4 linked regions of the Mytilus edulis genome follow. The protein of the gene in region 1 purifies or fractionates together with the protein of each later gene. This does not show direct contact. Links are inferred from orthologs where the notes say so. Each region holds a gene or a part of one and is shown on either strand. Other genes may lie near its edges. The genes, in order: KRR1 small subunit processome component homolog, protein KRI1 homolog, ATP-dependent RNA helicase DDX24-like and uncharacterized protein.

What was found.
Region 2: the proteins of KRR1 small subunit processome component homolog (region 1) and protein KRI1 homolog purify together in Homo sapiens (affinity purification with mass spectrometry; 3 studies listed by BioGRID and IntAct, with this or other methods). This does not show direct contact. The link is inferred for Mytilus edulis from reciprocal best matches to the Homo sapiens genes KRR1 and KRI1.
Region 3: the proteins of KRR1 small subunit processome component homolog (region 1) and ATP-dependent RNA helicase DDX24-like purify together in Homo sapiens (affinity purification with mass spectrometry; 3 studies listed by BioGRID and IntAct, with this or other methods). This does not show direct contact. The link is inferred for Mytilus edulis from reciprocal best matches to the Homo sapiens genes KRR1 and DDX24.
Region 4: the proteins of KRR1 small subunit processome component homolog (region 1) and uncharacterized protein purify together in Homo sapiens (affinity purification with mass spectrometry; 3 studies listed by BioGRID and IntAct, with this or other methods). This does not show direct contact. The link is inferred for Mytilus edulis from reciprocal best matches to the Homo sapiens genes KRR1 and DDX18.

What each region holds. Positions count from the first base shown.
Region 1 is NC_092350.1:37,840,039-37,846,992, forward strand, and holds the start of KRR1 small subunit processome component homolog, read left to right. Parts: upstream 1-3,946; 5' UTR 3,947-4,085; coding exon 4,086-4,098; intron 4,099-6,954. UniProt on the Homo sapiens protein: Part of the small subunit (SSU) processome, first precursor of the small eukaryotic ribosomal subunit.
Region 2 is NC_092344.1:5,473,131-5,480,563, reverse strand, and holds the start of protein KRI1 homolog, read left to right. Parts: upstream 1-4,416; 5' UTR 4,417-4,470; coding exon 4,471-4,549; intron 4,550-6,162; coding exon 6,163-6,239; intron 6,240-7,433. Other genes in the region: uncharacterized protein, read right to left, coding at 2,131-2,141.
Region 3 is NC_092344.1:113,043,308-113,050,425, forward strand, and holds the start of ATP-dependent RNA helicase DDX24-like, read left to right. Parts: upstream 1-4,102; 5' UTR 4,103-4,297; coding exon 4,298-4,465; intron 4,466-7,118. Other genes in the region: uncharacterized protein, read right to left, coding at 449-587. UniProt on the Homo sapiens protein: ATP-dependent RNA helicase that plays a role in various aspects of RNA metabolism including pre-mRNA splicing and is thereby involved in different biological processes such as cell cycle regulation or innate immunity.
Region 4 is NC_092353.1:66,593,742-66,600,992, forward strand, and holds the start of uncharacterized protein, read left to right. Parts: upstream 1-4,242; 5' UTR 4,243-4,405; coding exon 4,406-4,427; intron 4,428-6,737; coding exon 6,738-6,833; intron 6,834-7,251. Other genes in the region: uncharacterized protein, read right to left, coding at 3,981-3,996. UniProt on the Homo sapiens protein: ATP-dependent RNA helicase that plays a role in the regulation of R-loop homeostasis in both endogenous R-loop-prone regions and at sites of DNA damage.

The sequences.
Region 1 (6,954 bases):
TGTTAAAAATTTAATTGTGTTAAATTATTTCAGTAAATTTCAGACAAATTTGATGAATAAGATACTTCTAGCTATTAACAAAGATTGTATATAAGTATTTAGTTTGAGTTTTGGGAATAATAAGGAATATTTCTAGGACTTTGTCTGGGTGTTCTAGAACCAACCTAATGCACATATCTAAATATATTGATCACATGGTTATTTAAACTTTACAGATTGCACAGACTTTTTGCGATCTGGTCAAAAGATTTAGTATATATTTTGTTTTGTTAAAAAAATATTTTTACTGTTTCATTTTATGTATTCTACTCATTTCGCTATCTATGTTATTTGTAAATTTATGTGTATTTGTCTCAGTAAATGGACAGAAAGTCACAGAACAAAATGTCACAGGACATAAAGTCACAAAGATAGAACGAAGAGGTCACATGACAAAAGGTCACAAATAATTTGTTGCCAATTGTTTGAATATGTAAGTGATGTATTCACTTTTTAATTCATATATTCATATTAGTTTAGGAAATGTGTCATTATACTTGAAAAATGATTATTTATTTAATAAAAATCATGCAAAGGATATATTTATTGGCACAATGAAGCCATTAAAGTGTCAAGCCACTTTCACATTTTGTTTTTTTAACAATTATTTAATCATCTTTGATATTTTTTGGATAAATTTTGTTTACAAAGTTGGTTTATATACAACAGTCAAAAAAAAATACCAAAATATTTTTGTAGAAATAAGCGTTTTTTATTCAAAGAAAATAGCCAGAAAAAAATAATTGTGACTTTTTGTCCTGTCACTTATTGTCCGTGACTTTTTGTCTATTACTTTTTGTCCTGTGACTTTCTGTCCTACATTCTTTGTAGCTCCTGTTATGCAGGAAATCCGTGCCAGGAAATCTGCGTCCGAGTGCTTTTTGAATAAACAGTTTAAACAGTTAATAGATATTGCAGTTGAATATCAAATTTGTATAAATGCTCATTAATTTTTGTTATCGCTCATTATTTTTTTTTATCATATTGAAAAATTTTCTTAGCTCTCAGAATAAAGTGAATCTTAATTGCATTATGAAAAGAAACTAGTTAATGAAAAATTTTGTTGCTTTTTAAAACAATTGAAAATCCAGTATATTATCGTCAGTTTGGCTAATATCTGTCAGTTAATAACCAAAATTTGTCTTCAGAAAAAATAAATACACTTCTACCATGTCTATAGATTGTGACATTTTTATGGTCTATTAATAAAATCACAATCTAAGTAAAATATTTTAATTAGATTGATAAAATCATTTTTTTTCTCTCTGTGTATTATATTGTTGAAACTGCTGGACTGGCATGATACATATATATACACATTGATAATGAAAATGTATTAAATTTTAAACATGCAAAGGATATATTTATTGGCAAAATGAACCAATTTAAGTACCAAGTCACTTTGGCATTTTTTTTTCATATAAACAATTATTTGATAATTATTAATGACATTTATTAAATACATTTTAATTACAAAGTTGCTTCATATATTAAACTTCAAGGCAATACAAATTTTTTTTTGAAGTGTTTTCTTATTCAAAGAAAAATAATCTCAAAACTGAATTGTGACTTTTTGTCCGTGAAATTTTGAGCTGTGACTCTCTGTCCTACATTCATATAATCTTGTATACATTTGACAAGAATATTTCACTTAAAACCAGACATTTTAGATAAAGTTAATACATTGTAATAACTGCAGGGACTTGAATGATTTAGACTATTTAAAGATACTTGTCTAGTAGTCTCAGATATATGACAATACAAAATATTATCAAATTTTGCTGTAATAAATATATGTTGAATATATTTATTCAATAGAGAAATAATGAATTGCCTAAATTATATTTAAAATAAGTCCTAAAGATATTATCTTAAAACATTTGTTGAACAATGTTAAATGCAGATCCGTCTCTCTTAGTATAAACAATTTTGAATTTAGAAAATTGATTTTAGAAACACCTTTTCAATAGAAAAAGACAGGTATTGTGAAAGTTTGCATTATATATGACGATGACATTCATTTAATCTTCAGTTGTCAAAAAGTACTTTTAAAAAATAACATAAATTGATAGAAGTTAAAAAAAAAATTTAACATCAAAACAAAGTCACAAGACATTTAAAAAAAAATGTTATAAGGCTATATGTGTTTTATATGTCTCTGGTTCATCTAGTTGTATTATTTCATTTTATTTTTTTATTTTTCTGTTCATAATCACAGTAATTAAATTTGACAAACACATATTTTACCTGAGACACTTTACCTGTAGGTTATGTAATTTTAACACTTCAATGCAGTCATGATTTCCCTTTATCCTTGACTAGTTTTTGATTAATACCTTGTGTATTAATTAGCAACAGGGAGTATAATGATGGACACATAGGGCCATCATGGTGGACATAGTTTTATACCAACCTACATTGTAACCTGACTTCCCAATGAATGTAACAATTGTAACCTGATTCCCCAGGCATGTATGTAAACATTGTAACCTGATTCTCCATGCATGTAACCATTGTAACCCGACTTTCCCATGTATGTAACCATTGTAACCTGATTCTCCATGCATGTAACCATTGCAACCTGATTTTCCCATACATGTAACCATTGTAACCTATTTCTCCATGCATGTAACCATTGTAACCAAATTCTCCATGTATGTAACCATTGTAACCCGATTCCCCATGTATGTAACCATTGTAACCTGATTCTCCATGCATGTAACCAATGTAACCCGACTTTCCCATGTATGTAACCATTGTAACCTGATTCTCCATGCATGTAACCATTGCAACCTGATTTTCCCATACATGTAACCATTGTAACCTATTTCTCCATGTATGTAACCATTGTAACCAAATTCTCCATGTATGTAACCATTGTAACCCGATTCCCCATTTATGTAACCATTGTAACCTGATTCTCCATGCATGTAACCATTGTAACCTGATTTTCCCATACATGTAACCATTGTAACCTATTTCTCCATGCATGTAACCATTGTAACCTATTTCTCCATGCATGTAACCATTGTAACCAAATTCTCCATGTATGTAACCATTGTAACCCGATTCCCCATGTATGTAACCATTGTAACCTGATTCTCCATGCATGTAACCATTGTAACCTGATTTTCCCATACATGTAACCATTGTAACCTATTTCTCCATGCATGTAACCATTGAAACCAAATTCTCCATGTATGTAACCATTGTAACCTGATTCCCTATACATGTAACCATTGTAACCTGATTCTCCATGCATGTAACCATTGTAACCCTAAATCATTGTAACCTAAATAACTAATGTAACCTCACAGCCATTAATAATGGGGTTGCCATGGTAACAAGATGGCTAAAAGGGATTCTTGCATGTGTGTAACCAGTGTAACCAATGTAACCACTAGGTCAGTGGAGGTTACAAATGTACCAGGATTTGAGAATTTCTGAATATGATGATTTATGATAGTTTGTATGAGTGTAACCAATGTAACCAATGTAACCATTATGTCAATGGGGGTTACAAAACAAGGTAACTGAATTATGGTGCACATTTTGTGCCTTATATGTAGCCATGGGATCTTTTATTTCAAATACTGATAAATATCATAGGGCCGAGAACGGGATTTTAAAACTCCTTCCCAGGAGTTTATTCATATATTAGAAGAAGTCGAAGAGTGATTGGAAACAGCTGATACCCATTTTTTTCTAATCATAATACATACTTACCAAACAAATTTTTATAAACATGATAAAGAATGACCTTCATTTCACAAAAAATATTTCATTCAATAATGTAATGCTGTAGCCACGATATGTGTGGAAATAACCAGTATAATCTGGATAATACACAACTGCAAACTGGAAAAAAATGAGTAATCACATGATCAAGCAATACAATTTCTTCATTTAAAAAGTAGCTTTTCTCCGTTAACAAACGCAACAATGATTAAGATCAATCCAGGGGAAATAATCCTTGTACTAAATTGAAAGTAGAAACAACGTGAGGAGAAAAAAGAAAACAATTCCTTTGATATTTTAAACAAACCATGGAAAGACAAGGTTTGCACAAGTCATAACTATTTATCCATCTTTCTGTACCAACTGCGGGTCCCAATATGTTATTTCCCAACACTGCAACAGTTGAAATCTGGACATTTGTTTATAAATAATATATAAAAAAATAATACATGCATGGCCATGGCATGGACTCAAAATTTTGTGCACCAGATTTAGTTATCTTGTTATGTACCCTCGTTTAAAGTTATGATAATGTGGTTACATATAATGTATATGACAAATATATTGATCTTGCAGCATTTGCAGCATTCAAAACTGATGTTCATTTTCCCTGATTTATATTGTTTCTTATTGTTGTCTAGTTGCATAATGTTTATTATTTGAACAGAATATTTTATCATGATTATCTTGTTATGTTTGATGAAAAAAATTGCCAAATATTTGTATAATTCGCCACAACCAATTAATTATTTCCCCCTTGATTTGCATACTTCTTCTTCTTCTTTATGTAAATCCCTCCAGTGTTGGAGCACACACAGCTAGCTGTGTTTCCTTAACGGATTAGTTTTTAAAAAATGTTAACATATCCACAAGTTACATGTAATAGGATACTGGAATTTAATGTATTCATCTTTATTGATATTTGTGAACCAAATGATCTCTTCAGTCTATTTATGCAGTATAACTGATGAGACTACCATAACCATTTAACAAGTATTACTATAGTAGTCTCAGAGTTTTATGTTTTATGTCATTGACCCAACTGTTCAGGGTTAACCCTCTACGGTTGTATCCAGCTTCGTTCGCCATAAAAATTAATTGTTTATTACCTTGAATACTATAATAGATAAAGATAAACTGTAAACAGCAAAATTGTTCAGCAAAAATAGGTCTACAAATAGGTTAACATGACCAAAATGGTCAATTGTCGCTATAAAGAATCATTGCCCTTTAAAGTCAACTTTTCACACCTTTACGTAATTTTATAAATGAGGTAAACAATGAAATATGTCAATATCATTGATAACTAAATCAAATTTTTTACTAAAATCTTTTCCTCTGAAACAAGGACGTATAACTAACATAATACGTCCTCATCTGAAACTCCATGAACTACTGGGCCAAGTTGGGCTAATATGTTCCAAGGCTTATCACCACCTTTTTTGAAACACAAAGTATAGTGCATTGATCATAACATTCTATACATCCTTTTCATGAACATTTTCAAAAATTTATCAATGTAATATATGCTCAGATATTCAAGGCACAAAATGATGTTACACTTGTTAAGAAAATTACATAACTTTTGCAAGGTGCAGGAATGTAATATCTGTTCTAAAAAAATATAAATTAAGTCATTGTTTACCTCATCTTTAAAAATTGGAGTTATCTTCCTTTGTCTAGAATAGCTGTTAAATCAACTACAACCAATGCAATATTTAATTTTACTTCCCACTAATAAATGGAAGCAATCTTTACAGTTCAGTGCTTTCAAGCAATTTGATTGGCTTATATCTCTGAAACTAAAGCATTTCAAGCAAATCTGACAGAATGAAAATGTTCATCTGGTCAAGACCCATTTGCCCTGAAAATGCTGAAATTTTCTGTCGCAAATCTATTGATGAGTTGCTGCCTCAGAAATGGTAATTTTATGGCAATTTTACAGTTTTTGCTTATTATTTTGAATTATAATAGAAAGAGATAAACTGTTTACAGCAAAATTGTTCAACAAAATAAGATCTACATGACCAAAATGATTGATTGATACCCTTTAGGAGTTATTGCCCTTCATAATAAAGGAGTATGTTCGGTAAGGTCTTAAAATGGCCCCCTTTTTTAGCGTAAATTTCAAATTTGGATTTATTGACCAATATCACAACAAATCATACATGAATCGAAGCTAATATAGTACGATGGCCGAAGTGAGCCGACAAAAATACTATTTAAACTTTGTATAGTACTGTATAGACAGTTTGTACATAATACTTTCTTGTTGTTTTACTTCCTGATTAAAAGATAGTACTCTGTACAGAAAGTTTGTACAATGTACTATCCTGTTGTTTTACTTCCTGGTAAAATGATAGTACTCTGTACAGAAAGTTTGTACAATGTACAATCTTGTGTTTTACTTCCGGTAAAAAGATGGTACTCTGTACAGAAAGTTTGAACAATGTACTATCTTGTTTTTTACTTCTGGGTAAAAAGATAGTACTCTGTACAGACAAGTTATGACAGATCTACCATCATCAGGGATCCAACTGTCAATTTGAATAAAGTCTTTAACTTTGATATACTAAGCATATCCCCAATACTTTTATGTTTGCTATACGCAACTATTGGTGCTATTTTGAATACTTGTACACAATCTTCGTCAAACTGTAATAAATGCCAGTGTTTCATTACACGTTTCTTTATTTTATGTATATATGGATTATAATATTTAGTTATAAAAACTTACGGAATATATTGTTTTCTTCTGATTTCTTTTGTTGTAATAAATCAGTACGGTCAATTGATAAAGCATCAGTGATACTATCATCTTTCTCCACGTTATCATAACCCCTATCTAATAATTTCACTTTGAAATTAGTTAAGATTTTTTTATTAATTTGTTATGGTCAATTGTGTTTCTAGTTTGCCGCATTGCTTTACCTTTAATAAATCCTCTGAATACATGCTGTGAGTGACAGTTATTTCTGTCCAGAAACAGATAATAATTTGTGTCTTAAAAATTACTTTGAATTTCAAGGTCAAGAATGTTATATGTTGTAAATCTTTGACCTTTAAATACATCAACATCTAAGAACGACATTTGATCGTTTTTGATTTTAATTAGGGGTTTTAATTATTTGCTAGACGAAAAAAATCTATTATTTCATCTGATGTTCCCTGATATGT
Region 2 (7,433 bases), on another chromosome or scaffold:
TCTTTGACATATTCCCCCTTTCCATTGACCTTTCATATGTTTGACTTTTTTAATCTCTTGTGATCAAATATATGAAAAAAGGCTGAATTAATATTGATATTCACTCATAGGGTCTTTGCATCGGCAATATCCACATTAATTCTAAAACAGTTGTTGGCATATGATACAGGCTATGTTCTTCTCGTATATTTTATGGTGGTATGATACTAAACCACTAATGGGAGGGGATTGTGCTTGATTTTCATATGATGAAGACATGATCTTTAAATAAGTTTAATTGAGGTCTGGAGTTGGCATGTTAGTTACTGCTAGTGGTTCTTTGTTAATTTAATTTATGTTGATCATTTACATTTTACTTAGTTTGTTCTCAGTGTTATCTATTATAATATCGGACTTCTTTTAAACTGGAATCTACTGTGCGTATTGCTATGCGATTGTTTAAAATCTTCTTTGGCTAGAGGTATAGGGGAGGGTTGAGATGTCACAAAACATGTTTAACCCCGTCGTATATATTTTTGCCTGTCCCTTTTCTGACCTTATTATCGTTGTATGTCTTTTTAATTTTTGGTTCATTTATTATTTTCGGAGTTTAGTGTGACGTCCATTTTTGCTGAACTAGTATACATTATTGCTAAGGGACCGGCTCAGTGAGGCCTGTCTCCATGTGAGGGATTTTTTTCACTATGTTGCAGACCTAAGCATTGGTGGCCTTATGCTGTTTTGGACCGTTTGACACATTCCCCGTTTCAATTGTCGATTTTATTTCATTTGTAGTACGTAACACGCGCGAAGTTACACATGGATGGGTGATATTTTTTTTTAAATAAGGTTATACATGTGCTTGGTATACATACAAGTCTCTGATTGTATCATGGAAGTAAAATGAAATATAATATTCCCATGGTTATATAATCGATGTCATAAGCATCTTAAACTATTAAGGTATACATGTATTATCTTAGTATTCATATCTAATGTAAAACCACAGTCGGTAATGCTTCAGATATTTCATTTGTCCAATTATTTTATCTCTTCATCACTGTCTGACCCTAGCCATATGTGATAATAATCGGATTATTTTGACATATGGATCTAATATACAATATGCAAACAGTTTGCATACATGAAACAAAATTATTTATGAACGTTATGTAATGTTTGAAATAGCTTGATATAATAGCTTAAGCTCTATTTTTCGTTCCAAATATCATATAATTATATTGTCTCCTGAAATTTGTGAAAACATGCCGTTTCCTTTGACGTTTCTCGAGATTACCTTTCGTCAATCATTAATACGCTACCTTTTCCAAATATTATGTATATACGAAAATATACACCTTATCATAACAATCCGTTTTATTTCAGTAAATAATGTGTTCGCCGAAGACAAGTGATATGGTTATATGGTTATACCAGATTTCCTATGCAATTGTGGTGCGAACAAAACAAATGTGTTTGTGTAACTGTAAATTAAATGCGATTGCATTGTTTACATAATGTCAATATGCAGCCGTATGAAATGTTATAAACGGATTTCTAAATTGTTAACCTAACACAATTCCAAATGTCGTGATACCATATAAAGACTTCATAAAAAAGTCTTAAAGTAAAAATTGACAACACTTTCTTACCTTCTTGTTTTGTCTTTGTTTCCTATAAGAATGATGATTTATGATTGTTTACATATGATGACTAAGAGACACTAACAGACAAGAAGCCAATTATTACTACGTCTTTCAGGCACGATTCCAACTTGTAATTTATGCATAATTAGTTATGATTTCTTGGCGATGTATGTTACATCAGTTGCTAGTTTTGGTTCATATCTATTGACAGTTTATTGACATACACTTTCTATATGTATGTCTACCAGTGTGTGATTGCCAACAGTACACATGCATGCACACGAGCGTGCAATATGAATAAACGAATACTAGTAAACATATTAGATAAAATTTGGAAAATAAAGCGAATCTGTTTATTGCTCGAGTAAGATCAAAGACCTGAGTTGAATTGAATATATATATAAATCTATGGTTAATAATACTTTGAGTAACTTTTTGTCACAGTTCAGTTGTTTTTGTTTTTGTTTTGAAATTTACACAAAATAGAAAAGAGAAATGATCTTACCTGACTTGCATCGTTACACTATCATCGGCAGCACAACATAAAGGGAGTATAATAATTAGACAGATCTCTGAGAGACAGATATCTAACGTAAGCTGATACACGGGTTATATATAATACAGAGATTAGATGACTGTGCAATCTGGTTTACCTTCACCTTCAGCTGCATGTGTATGCATGTAAATTTTGTAGGCTGCAATTATATCAGTCTGTCACTGTTCGATTCAATGGTTTACATGGTTTGTTTTTACTTATACACCGTAAACTTTCATAATCTCGTTCGAGTAGCATTGGAAAAGGGAGGGACCATTCTTTAAACATGTACTTCTTTTGTAGGAGTCTTTGATACACGCAAATAAGATTTCAAGCCAACGAAACAAATAGTCAAAAGACATGTAGAGATCAATATACGATCTTTAACAAGAGTCCAAAATCCCAAGCCTGTAGCTATACAATACTCTGAATAGAGTAGACGTGATTTTGGAACAGTTGATAAAATTGACTGTGATTTTTTTTTTAACTGCCATCCATGCCAAATTCCCTAAATGACAAAAGACAAAAACTATATATAATTTTTTTTTTAAATCCAGATTTCTTTTCTTACGATTTGAGACCAAAATAAAGCCAATGCTCAGCTGCATGAGCTGTACAGTATATAACTGAGGTAAAGTTGGCCTTTTCTCACCATTTAATATCGAAAAGGAGTTCCATAAAATTGAGAATGGAAATGGGGAATATATCCAGCACCCAGAGGTGGTCATCAGACGGGCTCTAAATAAAATTGTGTATTGTTCATGAAAATGGACGTAACACTAAACTCCACAACATATGAATGAACTAAAATTAAATAAAAAATACAACTTCAAGATTAACAAAGGCCAGAAGCTCCTGTCTTGTGACAGGCGCAAAAATGCGACGAGGTTATACATGTTTTATGAGATCTCAACCATCCCTCTATACCTCTAGGCTATGTAGAATAAAGAAATACAACAAAAACGCACAGTAAAACCTATCAATATTGGTAGCTTATTTTGTTCCTATCTCTTCTGATTTAAACAATCAATTTTAAGATATTCTAGATTTTGAAATTTTCACCTGAATACACCCTTAAGGTAGATGGGGTGTCTAAATTATAATCCATAGATTTTTTTAATAATTTGCCAAAATGTAGCTTATATCATGCTCTTTAAAAAATAATAATAAAAATAATGGGTCACGGGACTTATTTTCACGCTACACGGTGTTCAAAATTGACAGATTTTGTATAGATTATGCATGGAAAACACAATTTTCTGCAATAAAGCGTAAACTACACCATAGAATTTGAGATACCATATGAGAAGATAGCTTTTATAGTATGCTTTCAGTTAAGAAAAAGACAAAATGGGGTCACCGGACCTGTTTTCTTGCTACATTATAAAATAGGAAAATTCCTAACACATTCTATTGTAAAATTACCGTAATCTGAATTATCTGCCCTTGCATTTGAGTTGCCTCCCCTTATGTGGCAAAGTTGGAAAAAAAATTAATCAAACAAAAGTTTTCTGTTTTTTGTAAAATACAACCATAAATATGATAAAACATGTCATTTTATATATTGAGGTCAAAGGTCTTACACATGAATTACCTACTACTCTAAAAATTTGCACATTCTATTAAAGATCTAGACCTTGTTGTCTGGTATTTCCTAATCCAAGATGGAGGAAGACACCCTATCTACCTTAAACCGGCTTTATTACTGTTAATACTTATTCTTAACAGTTACATATTGTTACTTGGATGGAGAGTGGACTTATTGGCACTTCTAGGATAAACCACATCATATTCTTCTAATAAAAAAAAAGAAAATTTCAGAGGACATTTCTGATATGTTTAGCTATGCTAAAAATGGTATTTCCGAAAAACAAAGGATTTGAAATAATACCCCCTTTTTTAAATCTCCAAAAGTAAATGATCGTACTAATTTATTTACCTACTCATCTTACACTTCACGTACTGTAATACTTACTTTAATGCTTACTTACTTGCTAATACTATCTACCAAGAAAATCAATTAATCAAGGATTTGTATAGTTAGAAAGTAATCAAAAAGTCCAAAAATTCAGTCCTAGATTATCAGATGACAAAAAAATTAAAAAAACAGTCCTAGTTTATCAGATTTTCAATTAATCATGAAATATTTGGTCTAGTAATATAATGACTATAAAATTGGCGATGTAATCACATACCGTAATCAAAATCCCCATGGTGCTCCATACGCAAAGAACGTACATACGGATAACATTATTAGAATACACCAATATAACATGTTTCTCTTCCCTATACTTTACCTGACCCACAAGCATGTCCGAGGAGCTAAAAATCAACAAAGCATATGCAGAAAATTACAACGTATGGCGAAAGAAAGAAGAACTCCAGAAACGTAAGCATGATGAATTCAATCTCGTCTATATAATCATATATTTTTTGCATGAACCTATCGTCTAGAATTGTAAAAATATTTTACACCAATCTAAGTGTGACACTAAATCAAGAAGTGCCCTTGTTGCATACGCACTTGTTTTTAACTTTGGGAAGATCCACTATGAGGATAGTTATGCCCTTTACCATCTGGCGTCAAACGATCATTTTTGGCTGCCATTATCATCAATCCTCAAACTTTTATTTAAGGCCTGTTGGCACGAATTGTCCCAATGTTCAGTTTTTCTCAGCGTATTTTCTTCTCTGTGCTTTAAAGATACGTTGATAGTGGGTCTTTCAATGGATAGAAACAAATGCCTGTGTCAAATTAGTTAAAACTTTACTGGGAATTGTCATAATAGCCTTATCTGGATTTGTCAGCCAGGGCCGTAACTACCTATGAGGCAGGGGATGCCTCCCCTGAATTTTCTACACCAAATTTATTTTTTTGAAGTAATAAAATGAAATATTGACAATATGTACACGAAGAACTTGAATTTATATTATAAACAATACAAGTTTACAGTTTTAACACTGTTATCATGATACGTGATATATCTGTCATTTTCCGGATTTTTGATCGAAAGGGAACCGTTTCAGTATATTTTTTTCTTTGTGTGGCCGTCCGTCTGTTATTCAGTATTCGTACGAGAACACATATGAAACTTTGCTTTCGACAATTTTGAATAAACTTAACTATTCACATTTATTTAGGGGCTCCAGTAAGCAGAGGAAATTCCCTTTGTATTGTGAATCGTTTGTGATATCAGAAATTCGTTACCGGCTGAATCATCTGTTGGGTCATTTTTTAACGTCTCCCAGCCGATCTAACGAGAACATTATGGTCAATGCCTTAGTAGTTAAACACTTCAATTTGTTGAAGCAGAGACTTTCTAAAACTAAGTAATATTCTAGTTTAGAAAGTCCCTGGTTGTAGTTATATACATGTCTGTTCAGCTTTCAACAATATTGAAATTCAAGGTCCTTGACAAAAAAAATGTCTTGCTTAATATGATCTTGCTTAATATGTTTTTTTAATTGACCAGTTTGATTTCTAACAAAAATATCTTTAAATACAGATACTAATTGTTTGCATAAAAATTGCTTCCAGGATCCAGCAATACTGATGTTTCTTAAACATGTTAAAGTAAGTAAATCGAAAGAAAACGGGTCATTTTTAGCCATTTTTCTGCGAGAAAAAAATCGGCGGGGGGCTGCGACCCCAACCCCCCTCTCTTGGGGGCATCAATCGGCGGCCCCCAAACTCCTGCCTCCCCTGAAGTCGAACCCTAGTTACGGCCCTGTCAGCGGTCTCAAATTTATTATCTTTAGCATCATTTTTTGAAATTTTTATAATGTGATGTTGATTTTTTCATCATGTAAAAGAAAGTGAACATTTTATCGTCAATCACCAAAAATAACATTAACGTCATATTGCAAGAATATTTGAGGTACTCCAATTACTACCCTCCACTATCAACGTAAATATCCGTTTGGATCTTCCCCTAGAATTTTAGGGATAGAAACAAGTGCCTGTGCCTTGTTGGTACCTTTATAAGAAGTTTATATTTGTAGTGAAAGATAAATACGGAGATGTCAGTGATCTGGATTCAGAATCAAGTTCGTCAGAGTCTGAGGATGAAAATGCTGAAGTATGTATTAACTACCTGGTACACATGAAATACATATTCTTTTGTGTATATATGAGAAAAGCTATATATACTTCTTGTAAATGTATACTATACTGTCTAAACAAATCCATGATATTATGATAATTTTCACATTCTATAATTTACTCCACATTCTAATATTATAACTGCCTTCTCTTCATGCCTGCTACTTTTTTTGCATCAGCAAATATAACTATTCCTATACATTTGTACTAGCATGACCAGTGGTCTTGTTTAAAGACCTAAATATAAGCATGATAAGTGCAACTTAATACCTAGTTTAAAAAAAACTTGTTTTGTTAGAGCATTGCACTACATATATATAAATGGCCCTTTGTATAATCAATTTCCCATCGAAAGTTAATAACATTAATGTCAGACACCTGATGATTGTTTAACGATTAATAAATTATGTCACTACATGTATAATCAATTTACTAATAGATAGGACTTATAAGGTGATAATTACTCATTAAAATGTAGGACAATGTAAAATTAACCTTATTGTTCATATCATGATTAAATTTAAATTTGATGCTGAACTTGAGAGCAACAGGGTGAGAGTTTCATAGACAAAAACCCTGATTCAGCCTGTTCTGATGAGTTAATCAACTGATTTTTAGTTTTTAGTTTATTCATATGTTGTACTGTTACATTGCTGTCCCAAGTTAGAGGAGGGTTGGGCTTACATGTTTTACCCCGCAACGTTCTATACAGGCCTGTCCAAAGTGAGGAGCCTGTAATTCAGACTACGTCAGAGGTTGTTGTTTTGTTGCTATATATCATATTTGGTAAATTTGTTCATTACTTTGTTCATAATCACCAGGGCCGTAACTACCTATGAGGCAGGGGAGGCAGTTGCCTCCCCTGAATTTTCTACACCAATTTTTTTTTAAGTATATGTACATGAAGAAATTGAATTTATATTATAAACAACACAAGTTTACACTACAGTTTTAACAGTGTTATCTTGATACGTGGTATGTCTGTCATTTTTCTGATTTTTGCTCGAAAGTGAACCGTTTTTTTTTCGTGTGGCCGTCCGTCTGTTATTCAGTATTGAGGGGGGTCAGTATCCGTACGAGAACACATATAAAACTTTGCTTTCGATAATTTTGAATAAAAACTTAACTCTTCACATTTCTTTGGGGGCTCAATTAAGCAGAGGAAGTTCCT
Region 3 (7,118 bases), on another chromosome or scaffold:
ATTTATTGCAAAAACAATTATAAACTATAATCTATACTAACTTATAGTGAAATAAGAAGAAAAATTAACAATTTCATCTATTTCACTAAATAGCAATGCAAGACTCAGGGAACATGTTGAATATAATGATTTTTTGTATTATAAAGTTATCAAATTCTCAACTTTTTCTCCACATCCGAGACTATTGTACCTATTGGTGGTCTTAGGCTGCTGATAACTCTTTGGTCAGGTTGTTTTCTCTTTGACACATTCCCCATTTTTGGTCAGGTTGTTTTCTCATGGACACATTCCCCATTTCCATTCTCAATTTTATGATTTGTATTCTATTTTGTCTTCAGTTGTAGATTAATTGATTTGAAGTAAGCATGTAAAACTAACTTTTCATCTTTTGTCGACTCTTACTGAGATCTTTCTTTATAAGTGTGTTCAAATTGATGATTTTACAAACCTGACATGATAGCTGATGTCACATTTTCTGTTGTCATTTCAAATTTTCTCTTCTTTGTTTGTATTTCCATATTAGCACAAAAATCCATGTCAATTGTGTTGTTATTATCAAAATGATAATCAGTGTCACTTGACTGCATCTCTTCTATCTGAAGATAAAAAATATAACTACAGTCGCATTCATGATTGATATAGAGTTTTAATTCCAATTCCTTCCTTTTTATCTTAACTTTTTGCTATTTGAAAAATTGACTAGGACTCAGTACTAATTTGGAACAAAAAGTCTAACAACTTAATACAGAGTTCACTTTCCATGCCCCATTATCATAAAGAATTCTGAATCTTGCTTGTTGAAAATTTAGTGTTATCCTTGAAAGTATCTTTCTTTATATCATTTTGACACTACTTTTATGCTGATTCTCATTAATTAGTGTTAACTATACCAAGAAAGATAACACCAGAATGAAATGTGATGAACTAACAAAATTATTATTCAATTTTTTTTTATTGTATTATTTCATGAAGGTATGTCATAATCAGATGATATCGGACATTTTACGAGTGTTAAAAAGTTTTCATGCAAAATAAAGAACATTTTAAAAATGTAACTAAATGACTGTTAAAGAAAGAAGTTAATAAATTATTATGAAGGAAGGAAAATTTTAACAACTGCAGTATATTATCTAGATAAAAGAACTTAGATTACAGGTGTTATAATAAACAACGGCATGCAGGATGTTCCAATTTGCAGGTATAATATATCATGTATCAATGATAAGCTAATTTGTCTCTGGTCTTACATACTTTTAAGATGTTAAAAATTAATAATGTCGAGCTCACCTGTTAATTAATGCTAAATTATGCAGAGATGCAATAAATTTTCTAATTAGAAACAGTTCAAACTTTCCCACATTCGCATTTTATTTATTTTAACACCAAAGGAATACTTTTGCGGCCTATAGACTACTGCTCTGGGAGAAAAAGGAAGGAACAGTTTTGCTGTTTCGTATGGTAATTTGCGGCAACGCTTTATAATGGCAAACTGCATTCTAAACAACGATTTAGTATCTAAAGCAGCATTTGACAAAAAAACTTGAAATGCATAACATCGTACATGGTATATTAAGGCACAATAAATCCCAATCGTGTGTCTTTTATATATATCTTGTCTGTTATTTCAAACAAAATGGCGTCAATGTGAAATATAAACATGGGATTTTGAAAAATCATAGCTAATTCGTTTTTATCACCATTTTCATAAAATGAACACTATGCGATAGAAAAAAGACTAAGCTTTTAAATTATATGTCAATGTCACATCTATTTCAAGTAGTTATTTAACTTATACCAAAATACAAAGTGTCGATGTATTTGTTGACGCACAACTTCAAATTTTCAACATGTTTCGAAATAAAATCATATATATTGTACCAATTACATTTAGCATTCGTAATTTAGATCAAACTGTAGAAAAATATTCCTTCTTTAAAATGATATCTCATTTTCTCACTTTTTTCTTTCTACTTTCCAATATAATAAAGAAATCGTAGTGCACTCCCAGATTGATAGACATATTTTGACAGAATATTGAAACTCAAAACTGAAATTTCGAAAAATCGTAGAAAATTCTTAAAAGTTACAAGAAACTTCAAAAAGAGCCTAAGCGATAGAATAAGGTTTCAGCTTCATAATGATATCAACTGTTTTGTTTTGCACTTCGCAGTTTTCAAGTTTTTAGAAAAAAATCAAAACACAGTATTTTTTGTTTAGTAATCCGGATGAAACTCCCTCAATTTTCAAGACCGAGGTCTATTCTAATGAGAATTTACTCAATACAATATTACAAACGTATGTTTGATGAGGCATTAAAATGATACCCAAGGCCTTACTTTTTGCTAGGAATAAAAGTTTATTCTTGATTTCGGGTTTCTCTCTCATTTATATCGTCTCAAGCAAGATGACCCCGTGAATTAAAAGACCGATTTATATGACAGGAAATGGAACTCCGTCATGATTTTTTATATTATTCATCATACTTCCGCCTGAGCCAGACATGGTTTATAACTCTGCGGGTGCGCTGTTGGTATCCCGATTGATCTCGAGCCGCGTTTCCATTCCTTTTAAATATACAATTCCTTGCTGAAACTAATGAAGAGAAGAAACTATTGAAAAAGTAAGTCGTTCTGGTTGAAAAGTACTCCAATTTTATGATGACTGACTGTTCAAAAAGGGTCATGGCACAATTAATAAGCAAATATTTTTCTATATTTTATGAACATTGATAAAATCAACAACTCCTGTGGTCAATAATTTCAGGTAACTTGAAACTTTGATTTGGGTATTGACCAAATCCTTGTTTTCTTTTCATGAATGAGTAACACTGGTTGACTCAGGGTCAGCCAGCATAGATGATGTCGTTTAGCAATTGATAACTTTCCAATTTCAGTTTTAAGGATGAACAAGGCTGTTCCTGTTGATTTGGGTTCTGGTTCATTTGGGGAAAAACTTAGTCGTCGGACATCACAACTAAAAGATTTTTTTTTTGTAACATCAATGCATGTTTTTTGTGAAAAGTCCACTAATTTAATTAAAAGGTTGTGTATAGACTCTCACTTTGACGAATTGATAAAAGCAATATGACAGGAAAAGGTTGAAATGTGAGAGTCGTCTATAACTGTTACATTCAACAAAATTAAGTTTCTCATTTGAAGAACTATTTAAACATTTAAACTTAATTCAATTAATGAAGCTTGGCACAGGCACTTGTTTCTATATATTTACGTTGATAGTGGGTCTTCCCATGGATAGAAACAAGTGCCTGTGAAGCTAGGCCTGAGTTAATCAAAATAATTATGACATATTGTAAGGCGTCAAAGCAAAAAAGCATAGTCGCCTTAATTTGTGTTTTCTTTATTGAGTTAAGCCTTCCAATTGATATTTTATAGTGTTTTTTTATGTTGTGATGTTATACTATTGTTTTAGAAAAGGGAGGAGGTTTGGTACCATTAAAATGTTTGCACCTGTTTAAGTCAGGAATCTGATGTACAGTAGTTGTCGTATGTTAATGTATAGTTCATACGTGTTTCTCGTTTTTCAATTTTATATACATTAGACCATTGGTTTTTTTTGTCGAAAGGTTTTACACTGGTAATTTTTTGGGCCCTTTATCAGTCTTATAGCTTGCTGTTTGGTGTGAGCTAAGGCTCCATGTTGAAGGCCGTATCTTGACCTATAATGGTTTACTTTTATAATTGTCATTTGGATGGAGAGTTGTCTCATTGGCACTCATACCACATCTCCCTATATCTATTTCAAGACCTCAAAATAATTTAATATTTGGACTGGATAAAGTCAAAGACAACTTTGGGAAGTTTCATTGTCAAATTGTCATCACCTTCTCTGCTATTTTCTATGTGTATTGGGATGCTTAGGTGTAAAATATCTTCTTTTTCCTACACCAGTGTTACATTTTATTGGAATGTCACTGATTTTGTTTCCTATGGTGTAAAACGAAAGAAGACAAAAAACGTCAACAATAAATAATCTGGAACCTACAACTGTCAACTAAAGCTTTATAAGAATGTTTGTGTTATTGTAACCAGTTGTAATATTTTTAACCTGGGTTCCTGTTTAAATTCAATCTCTACTATACGTCCAGACCTTGAATAATGGGAACCCAGACTATACTTTTAATCTCAAAACAATACAAAATAGGAATGAATAAGCTGTATGGAATAGATAGATAAATAAAAAAAGATGATAAAAATAATTCTATTTTAAAACAGATAGTTTTCATATTTTATTTGTCTTGATGACTTTATGAGATTTGTTTACATTTAGAGAGTAAAAAATGGCGACTTCCATGCACGTGAAAACCAAAGGAAAGTGGAAACCAGTGAAAATTGACTATAATCTTTTATCTCAAAATGATTTCGATTCTTTAATTTCAATAGAAGAACTTACGGATTACGAACTTATCAAAGATTATACCTCTGGAAACCCTGGAAAATCAAAAAAGGTAATAAAGTGTGGTCCATAAATCAATGGCATGGGCAATTTTAGGCACCCAGTTCTCACGGCAGTAGTCAAATCGGCACCTGGTTAAGGATGTTCGCTCCTCTACATTTTGAATTTTTGCTAGATTTTCGAAATCCTCTGGTTTTATCCATGTATCAACATTAAAAAAAATTGCCCAATAACCCCTACTTTTCTTTTCATATTTTTATTACATATTATTTAAAAAGCCATATTTCAAAATCTTATGAAATCCTTGTTATTTTTCCATAGTTTTTAAAACAAAAAAGGTGACAATGTTAAGTGAAAGAAAAATCTAGAGAGAATTATTTCCCGCCAAATTTTCAATGGCTTATATCTCGAAAACAAACACACGGACCCTCCATTTTTTTCTGCTTTTTTAGTTTCTTTATATATATACTTTCAATGTATAACAGTTTTTTAAAAAGCTTGTTATTTTTCAACAGAGTAGCGAACATCCTTAAATCGGCACCCAGTAGTCAAATCGACACTTGGTTAAATCGGCACCACTACTGGATATCACACAGGTTCACGTAAAATTTTGACGTCATAAAACAAAATATCTGACGCCACAATGGAAAAGTGATTGTTGTATGCGTCAAAAGTTCAAGCGGCATGGTCAGCCGGGATTAGCGATAAGGTATATTTGTTGCTGACGAGATTTTCACTTTAATATGTAACTTTTGCGTTTGACTGATAAGCGATCTATAAACAGATAAATATGTGGACATTATCGAGTGCAAATTAACATACCTTTTTGCTTATAACTGTGTTAACACATGCGAAAGAAGATCTCATGAATGTTTTGCGGCAATCTCCCATGCAGATTTATCGGTCCTTACTCACTCTCTCAGAGCAAGGAGCGATAACTCTGCATGGGAGATTGGTTTAGCAGGAAAATTGAATGCCTACTCAAATCCAATCTATTAATAAAATCCATTTTTCACAGAAGAGCGTCTGTCATGCACTTGCACTGCACTATTATTAATATATTAGAAGGAAGCAGGACAAATCGCCCCACTGGCAAAACCGCCCCACACCAAATCGCCCCACTTTTTCACCAACCTGCCCCACTATTAAAAAAAATAAAAAAATCGCCCCAACCTGGTTAACCAACTCGCCCCACTTTTTAAAAAAATGATTAATCGCCTCACTTTTGAAAAGGGTTAAATCCAGTTAATTTTTCCCCTGTCAACTCGCCCCACTTATTGAAAAAAGGAAAAATCTACTTCTATTATATGTAATTTTCAGGTCTACCAACTAGCCGCACTTAAATGAAAACTTATTTTGATTTTTGTGATCTACACAGAATACAAAAAAAAAAAAATTGAAATCAGTTTATTAAACTTTTTTAACATTCTTAAAATATAATTGCAAAGACATTTTTGTATCATTATTGGAGAATAACTTTATACTTGTAAGCTTAGTTATTTGTATAACAATTGAAAAGAAACCTGTTAATTGTATCATAATCACACAATTAATTGATGCGTGATTAACATTTATATATAACTTTATTGCAAAAACAGAGTTTTTAACAGCAATTTGATGTTATAGCACTTCACTTAGGTTTTCAAAGGTATTGACGTGGGCAGGGACAAAGATATACAACGGGATTGCATCTTTTTTATAAGTGGTTTATCTATTTGTCATGAGTGGGGCCAGTTGACAGCTGACCGTATTTCAGCGGGATTTTAACCCTTTTCATAAGGGGGGCATGTTATCATACCTATTTGCAATGGGAGTTTACCCTTTTCATAATGGGGCGAGTTGGTAAACAAGAGTGGGGCGTTTTTTTTAGAAAGTGGGGCGAGTTTGTGAAAGAGTGGGGCGATTTGCCAGTGGGGCGATTTGTCATGGATTCTATTAGAATAGAATGATATTCAAATGGGTGAGAATTATATATAGAAAAGTAAGTAAGTAAGTAAATTTTATTTATAGTCCGGCATGATATGTACAATTTAACAAGGTAAACATGAGCTCTGTAGAGCTCTTAACCGACTTGATACTTAAAACAAATAACAAATTATCAGCACAGACTACACATACAAATAAAACACATGCATAATATAATAGCAAAGCAAACATGCATAAATCAAAGCAAGCAAGCTAAAAGAAAGGAAAAGCAAATTTTGCTTTAACTGGCACAATGACATACATTGTAAGCTAAGCAAATAAATAAAATAAAAGCAAACAATAAACAGAACACAGGGCCAGAAGATCCAGCTCTGAGAACAGCAAAGTTAATATCTACATGAGCTACAGAAGCAGTTTTCTGAAGAGCACCATGAAGAAATAAAATGTTTGAACTTTACCAAAGTTGAGGGGCTCCATGCATGGTTAGGCAGGGAGTTCCACAACTTTGCTGCCGACAAAGCTAAAACTCCTTTTGCCATACCTTGTAGTTCTTGGTTGTGGTAAATCAACTGTGAGTTTATATCTAAAATTATATGAGTTATCTTTAAAATTTAATATATTGTGTAAAAACTCAGGACTGGATTTTGTTAAAATTTTGTAAGTTTCTAATGCCATGCTTCTCATGCGACTGATTTTAAGAATTGGTAATTTAGATTGTTCAAGTAGTTGTTCATATGATTTATTGTAGTCATTGTAGATGAATCTGAGCGCTCGTTCTT
Region 4 (7,251 bases), on another chromosome or scaffold:
AGTACACACTTAATTGTGAACTTTTTCGCATTGTGACTTGGATGAAGCATTGCCTCATTGGAACTCATACTACATCTTTTTTTATGTATGTCTAACAACACTATTTGACCAGATACAGCCTTTTTTACTAATGTGTAAATAGCTTTGTTTTTACCATCACATTTTTTATCTGTACAGCAATGTTTGCTTTGTTTTTGTGAATATTTTAGTTTGACCAAAAGTGGCAGAATAATCAGAAATGATGGCGGCCATCAAACATCCAAATAGCAGAGGGATATTTCAACAAGATTGTCTTATTTCCTGTTAAAATTTATTTGACAAAAAGTAAAACTGAGAATTTCTTTAAGTAACTGGTACTGGACCAGTAAGACTTTTTTGAAAGCTGCAAGATTATGCCAAATTTATCATTTATGGATAGGATACATTGAGTACAAGTCAAATTATCATGGTGGTCAATTTGGCATTGGTCAAAATAAGCACCTATTTAAAGTCATTTCTGCATATTTAGTTCATTTGGCACCATATTTTTTTTTAATCTTTTTCTTTCCTTTTCATTTGAGGTATGAGGAGAATAGTTTTTTGGATCTTTTTTCAATATTTTTAAGGACACTATGTACATGTACATTTGCAGAGGTTAGTTGTAAATATACATTTACTATATCATAAAAAGAAAAGACACAGACATGTAAAATGTACCTCTGTAATTAAGCAGTTATAAGAATACACAATAAAACATAATCAGTTGTTTGCTAATGCTTAATCCACATATGTCATGTTACAGACAAATTAAATCATTGTAATCTAAATTAGTTTTTTTCCTGCATTTCCCATATACTTATTTTTATATATATTGAATAATGCTGACACCAATTTTGTATGCTACAAGCTATAAAAAATAAGATGAGTGAATGAGTTATATAAACTTGTTCAGTTTTATCTGTTGTTTTAACTTCATTTTTTGGACACAGAAAACATGGTCATTGGTCTTGTTGTATATTGTTTGTTCCCCCATATAAAGTAGAATTTTAAATAGCGTAATGGGGAAATTAACAGCATTATTCACAAATCATCGTCTCATTATGATCATGGTTTACCATTAACAACAATAGACATTTTTTCTTCAGCTTTTCCTAGTTGTATTTGGCATTTTTGCGGGATGAATTTTCAGCCTCATAATTACCCCTTTCATCTAACTTTTTAGTTTTGCAACAACAAATTTCCTGGGATGTCTTTACTAAAATATTTTGTAGCATCAATAGGCTATTTGCCCATTCCTGTAATTGACCCTGTAATAGAAGATCCCTCTTTCAGTTGTCTCCCTTATGAGGGACATTAGTTTTCATTTATAATGGAGAGCTAGCAGAACGTGCAAATTTACCTGTGCGTAATGTAAGTAATAGTAAAGGCTTTCAAATCTTTTAATTACATTAATTTGTTATTAATCTAAATACTTTTGACATCAGAAATTATTTTTTATGAAAAAATAGTTAAACGGCTGATACATCACTTTCAATTCATCATAATTTGCATTGGCAATTCAAGAGCCTATTTTGTCTGGTATGATGAAACCAGTCTACGATTGACAAAGGGAAGTAATTTGTTTAAAAAGTGTGTAATAACAGAATCAAATCGGTAATTGGCAAATGGACTATTAATACACCCACGCACCCACACTGGCCACAGCAATTTTCATAAGAAATTTAAAAAAAAATAGCATTTGTATATACAATGTAATAATGCTATCATGTGGTCGTCGTTCGATGACACATTTGGTTTCAGAACAATAACTTTAGTTTAAGTAAATGTATCTCTCTGAAAATAGTTCCATATGATATCAGTTTATCACAGAGGGTGGTAATGGGGGTACCTTCATGACCAATAACGGTAAAAATTATTGCCAAATGCATTATTGGTAATTTTTGGTGCTAGTCCGAGATTACTCTGACATCTAACGGCTGTTTTGCCAGACAAGCTGGGGCTCTCAGACATTTAGATTACTTGCATAGTAAATGAACGAGGTGTTAGATTATGGTCATTTGCATAAATCATCACTTTTTTTCTCATGGTCACGTGATAATCTTTGAAAGTCAAAATGCAGAAATCGATGGGTCACTGCGAAAACTGTTTAAATATGGAAAAATAAAGGGTGGCATGTAGGTGAAGCTTACGTAAATGAAGAGATAAATGAAAAATGAACAAATTGATACCCGATTAAAATACATGTAATTCCAAGGCCCTTTTTTGGCAACAGAAGCGACGAAGCAGCGCATTTATTTTGGACGGGCAAATATCCACTTTTTGACATGGGACGAGCTCTAGATGATGTCCCATGGCCCCAGCTTGTCTGGCAAAACAGCCATTACTTCAGAGTAATCTCGGACTATTGTGGTGCATGACGATAAAATATGCACTTTCTTTTAGACTATAAAAAAATAGAATGATTTTGATGAATCATGTTAATTTTTTTCCAAAAATAACAGTAAGTTGAGTAACAATAATTTTGTGAGACCTCTGAAGAATCACGATAAGGATATTTTGACAAATCACGATAAGGATATTTTGACGAATCACGGTAAATTTAAAATCAATTTGACGCTAAACGGTAGCCAAAAATGGCCGTTTAAGCATGCCGGTAAAGGGCATTACTACCCTCACAGTCACCGGGTATCCAGACTGTTCGCCCTAATTACATATTCGCCTTAGGTCCGTTCGCTCTGAGTTCGTTCGCCCATAGAGTCCATTTGCCCTACTATATATAAAAATAATAATATTCAAGGCATTCAATGAAGTTGAATAAACTTATTCAGATATTTCTATGGTATATATATCATGTATATTCTTGAAATTTATGGAAACATTGAAATATTTATGGCTTGTTTAGGATCATTAATTGTTCAATGAAAAAATAATTCGGATCACTGGTTATTGTGATACTTGTCTTTTGATGTGCATTTGTATTAATAATAAAAACAAACGTTTTGTTTTAATAAAATATTCAGCTTGAAATTAATAAAAACAATGATGTACGAACTGTAAATTATGAAACGGATTTACAAGTTCATTTATTTATACTCTAAGACTAGTCATACTGCATACATTCGTAATTGACTGAATACAATTATTTTGTTAACAAATATCAATAAAGATAAATACATTGTGTTCCAGTATTCTACTCTGCAAATCAAAGGGAAAATGATAAATTGATTGCAGCAATATAAATATTCTGTCAATTTTTCAACAAACTTTAACATATTTTGTCATGTTCGTACAAAAACTTAAAATAATGCGACTAGACATGCTAGACAACAATTAGAAAAAAATAAAGATCAGGGCGAATGGACCCTGGGCGAACAGGTACTAGGGCGAACATGAATCAGGGCGAACGGACCCGGATTCCAGTCCACAGAATAAGCTTTTGGATCGATCTGGCCCCACGTCGATCCGTACCACGTCGATCCGGCCACAATAAAAAGTATTTTTATAAGGATTAAAAATTAAGATATATATTAATTGTAATTCATAAATGTGTATACATGATTTTTATTATAATGTAAAAGGTGTACAGTAAAAAAAAAGAAAGGCCTTTGAAAATATTTTATAATACACTGGCCTATATATAGGTTGATTATGTTTTTATTACAAGTTTTTAGGATTATTGGGTATAATTATATTAAAACGTATATAGAAGAATTCAGACTTCAACATTAATCAGCAGTAATTAGCATTTTCTTTCAATTGACTGTGATCCTAACAAGTCTTTCATCTTGTGTCTTGGTGCCGGAACGACCGGATACCACAGTCAGACGGAAGGCTGAGATGATCGAGTATGGGAGTTAACGTTTTTGTCCCAAACGTTCAAGAATTAGGTCAAACAAGATATATCAGTAGAGAAAACTGCTATTTATTTGTTTGTTTAATCTCTCGATGTCTGGGTCAGTTAACAAACGATTTAAACATGTATGGCGTCATTAGATACGCACCTGATTCGTCGGCCATATTTTGGGGTTGTCGTTCGTAAATAACAGGTGATAAATTATGTTACAAATTTCCGATGAAAGGCTTCGAATTCAAAGTATTCACTTCAAAAAATAAATCATCAGATTTGTTTGTTTGTTACTTTATTGGAATTGGTTAATTATATTGTTATAAAAAGAGTATGAAATTTATATTGCTGCAACATTTTTTAATCTCAACTCATTCAATCCATATTTTAAATGGTCGAAAAAGAAATACTTAATTTGATTTTTTAAAAGATCACGGGAGTGTTTTGATAAACTAAAATATGCGCCTTATATTGAAGTTCAAGGTTAACATTGACCAAAGAGAAACTTAGCACGTGTGGAAATTGTCTTTGGCAAATTTACAGAATTGGTCGATTATTTGACCACTAAGAAAAATTACAAATATGGAAGATAATTCAGAAAAAGGTAACCGACCAAATTGCGCTACAAACGATGTCCTTTTTTTGTAGAAAATAGTCCCTAAGAAGCTGTATAGTTGATAAATAAAATCAAATCAAATTTGTTAAAAGTTGGTAAAAAATTCAAGAAATAATTCCTGGCTGTCGTAGATTTGTTCTCATTTAACCGTGTGTTGGGTATTTATATTCGATTATATTATCCGGAACCACAGCGAATGGTTAAATGGGAATTTTAATGCTCAACCCATTTACATTGTTAAATGAAAACACATCTACAGCTGTCATGAATTATTTTCAATGCAGGACGCGATGGCCATACTGTCATAATGGCCATAGGATGTACATGATGTAGTGGCCATAGGACAAGATCATCCATACTTTCAGTTTGTAAAGACACATCGTCCATGGTTGTTTATAAGATATTTTGATATATACATGTAGATGGTTATAACTTAATATGAGGCAGGCATAACCTGTAAATGGGGACGAAGTCTGTATGAATTGTTTTTTTTTGTAACTTAAATATTTGTTAAAAAAAAGAAACGGAAATACCGGAACGTTTCCGATTTTGGTTCTGTTGTTAGTGATTTTAGTTGTGACGTTATTTAAATTATGACGTCATATGCAATGTAAACAAAGAAACGCTATCATCAGGTAACGTTTTTTCATATCAAGGAATTATTTAAAATGAAATTGGTATTGCGCGTTCCTTCCTATTTTATACTAGACTGATAAATATTTATTTTACTCAAAGTTTCATACAAACGAGACCGGAAAAAGGAAGTACATTGTACATTTCTGCGCAGGTCCAGGATTTCAAAACACGACAAAAAAAATTTGAACGATTTTGAGTTCATTAGTATACAATGAAAAATTCAGGAAATTTTCCCAAATTTATCGAATTTTCTACTGTTATTGGGGACTTCGTCCCCATATAAATGTATAATTTGTGCTGTTTTTAGATATAAGATGTGGTATGATTGCCAATGAGACAACTCTTGATCCAAGTCATAATTTGTAATGACTAGTGTAAAACCAACACTCAACAGTATATTCTCTACGAAAACCACTGAACATCAGGTTCCTGACTTTGGACAGGTGTTAACAAATGCAGCAAGTTTAAATGTTTTGATATAAAAAGATGTGGCATGATTGCCAATGAGAGCTCTCCATTCAAGTCATGATCATAATTTGTAAAAGTATTTGTCATGTTTTTATTTACCCATAAACATGATAAATATATAAATGTGTTTTATCTAATAAAAAAGTATTTTATTTGTCTAAATGAATGTTTAATGCGTAAAACAAACTACATGGATAAAAAAGAAGACAAATGAGAATGAAAATCTAAAATGGAAAATTAATTCAATAAGTTTAGTTTGAAATATAAAACATAGAAATCTGATATTGATTAATTTTAAACAAAGGAGTAGGTCCGGTAAGGGCCGATTTCGGCCTCAATTTTCAAGTTCATCTAACGAAAGATTTTAGACACTTTCTAAACACTTAAGTGTCTATTTCAATTGATTGAATTAGTTAATGGGGAAGATTTTTACTTAATAATTAAGTCATTTAAAACGCCCCGATTCAAGCTTAAAGATGAAAAATCTATCAAATATGCCAAAAATCGTCACTTTTCAGATGTTTTTTGTCAAAAATGAAAGTGGCCGCATCCGTGTTCATCCTCAACCTTTATATATATTATGTATTATCATCAAATACAACTTACTTTTCAATATTATGAATGAACACGAATGCGGCCACTTTCATTTCAGACGGAAACCGTCTAAAATATAACTAAAATGCTACAATTGTGAAGATTTCAGTAATTTAGCATGACTTAATGATGCTAGTACCCGATATATGTGCATTGTTTTGTCAAAAACAGCCCATATTTATGTAGCAGAAGCATTCTACTTTGCAATAAATATCTAAACGATTACATTTTCACAATTTTCTAAAACGGCTATATTTTGAGGCCAAAAAGGGGTCTTACTGAACCTACTCCTTTAAGATTGTTTATTGCTCATTATTACTTCTTCTGTGATTTTTTTTTTACTTAATTTGAATAATGTTTGTGTTAAATCTAAATAATTATATTCAACAATGGGTCTTTACAAATACTAATGATGTGTTCTTCTTATATTTATTCGTCTAAAGTTGTTCTAGCATTTTGCTTTAATATTGTTATAACTTCTGTTACAAGGTTTTAGTTTTTTCCTGAAGTATCGGTAACATGGTAAGATCATGACTCAAACAGTAAAATATTACAATGTATAATACAGGTGTTGCATTTATAATTGTTTTTCTTTTGTAGGTTTAAAAAAATTAAAGAAACTAAAAAAATCAGGGAAGAAACAAAAGTTAATGAAGGTGCAACAAAATAGATTAGGTCAAGCAGCAGAAAAATCAGGTTCACTATTATTGCATTGTCTCTCTGACTTTTATTATTTAATTCAGACTAATATTTTAACCACAAAATGTATGAAATAATTTTGATTTAAAAAGATTTTAAATTAAGCAGCATTATCATTTGACCTTAAAAGTTTAAAAGGAATGTTGTGTCGTTTGCAGTACATGTATGTAGTCTTTGAATCTAGAAGGAATGTCCTGGTATTTATGATATGAGGCAGGCATTACCTGTGAAAGGGGACATAATCTGTAGGATTTTTTTTTTTTAAATTCAAACATGTTCTGTTGTTGGGGATTTTAGTTGTGGCGTTATTTGAGTTATGACATCATATTCAATGAAAACTAAGAAAGCTAGGCTGTCATCAGGTTATGGTTTTTTTCATATCAAACAGTTATTAAAAATGAATTGGTATTGAGTT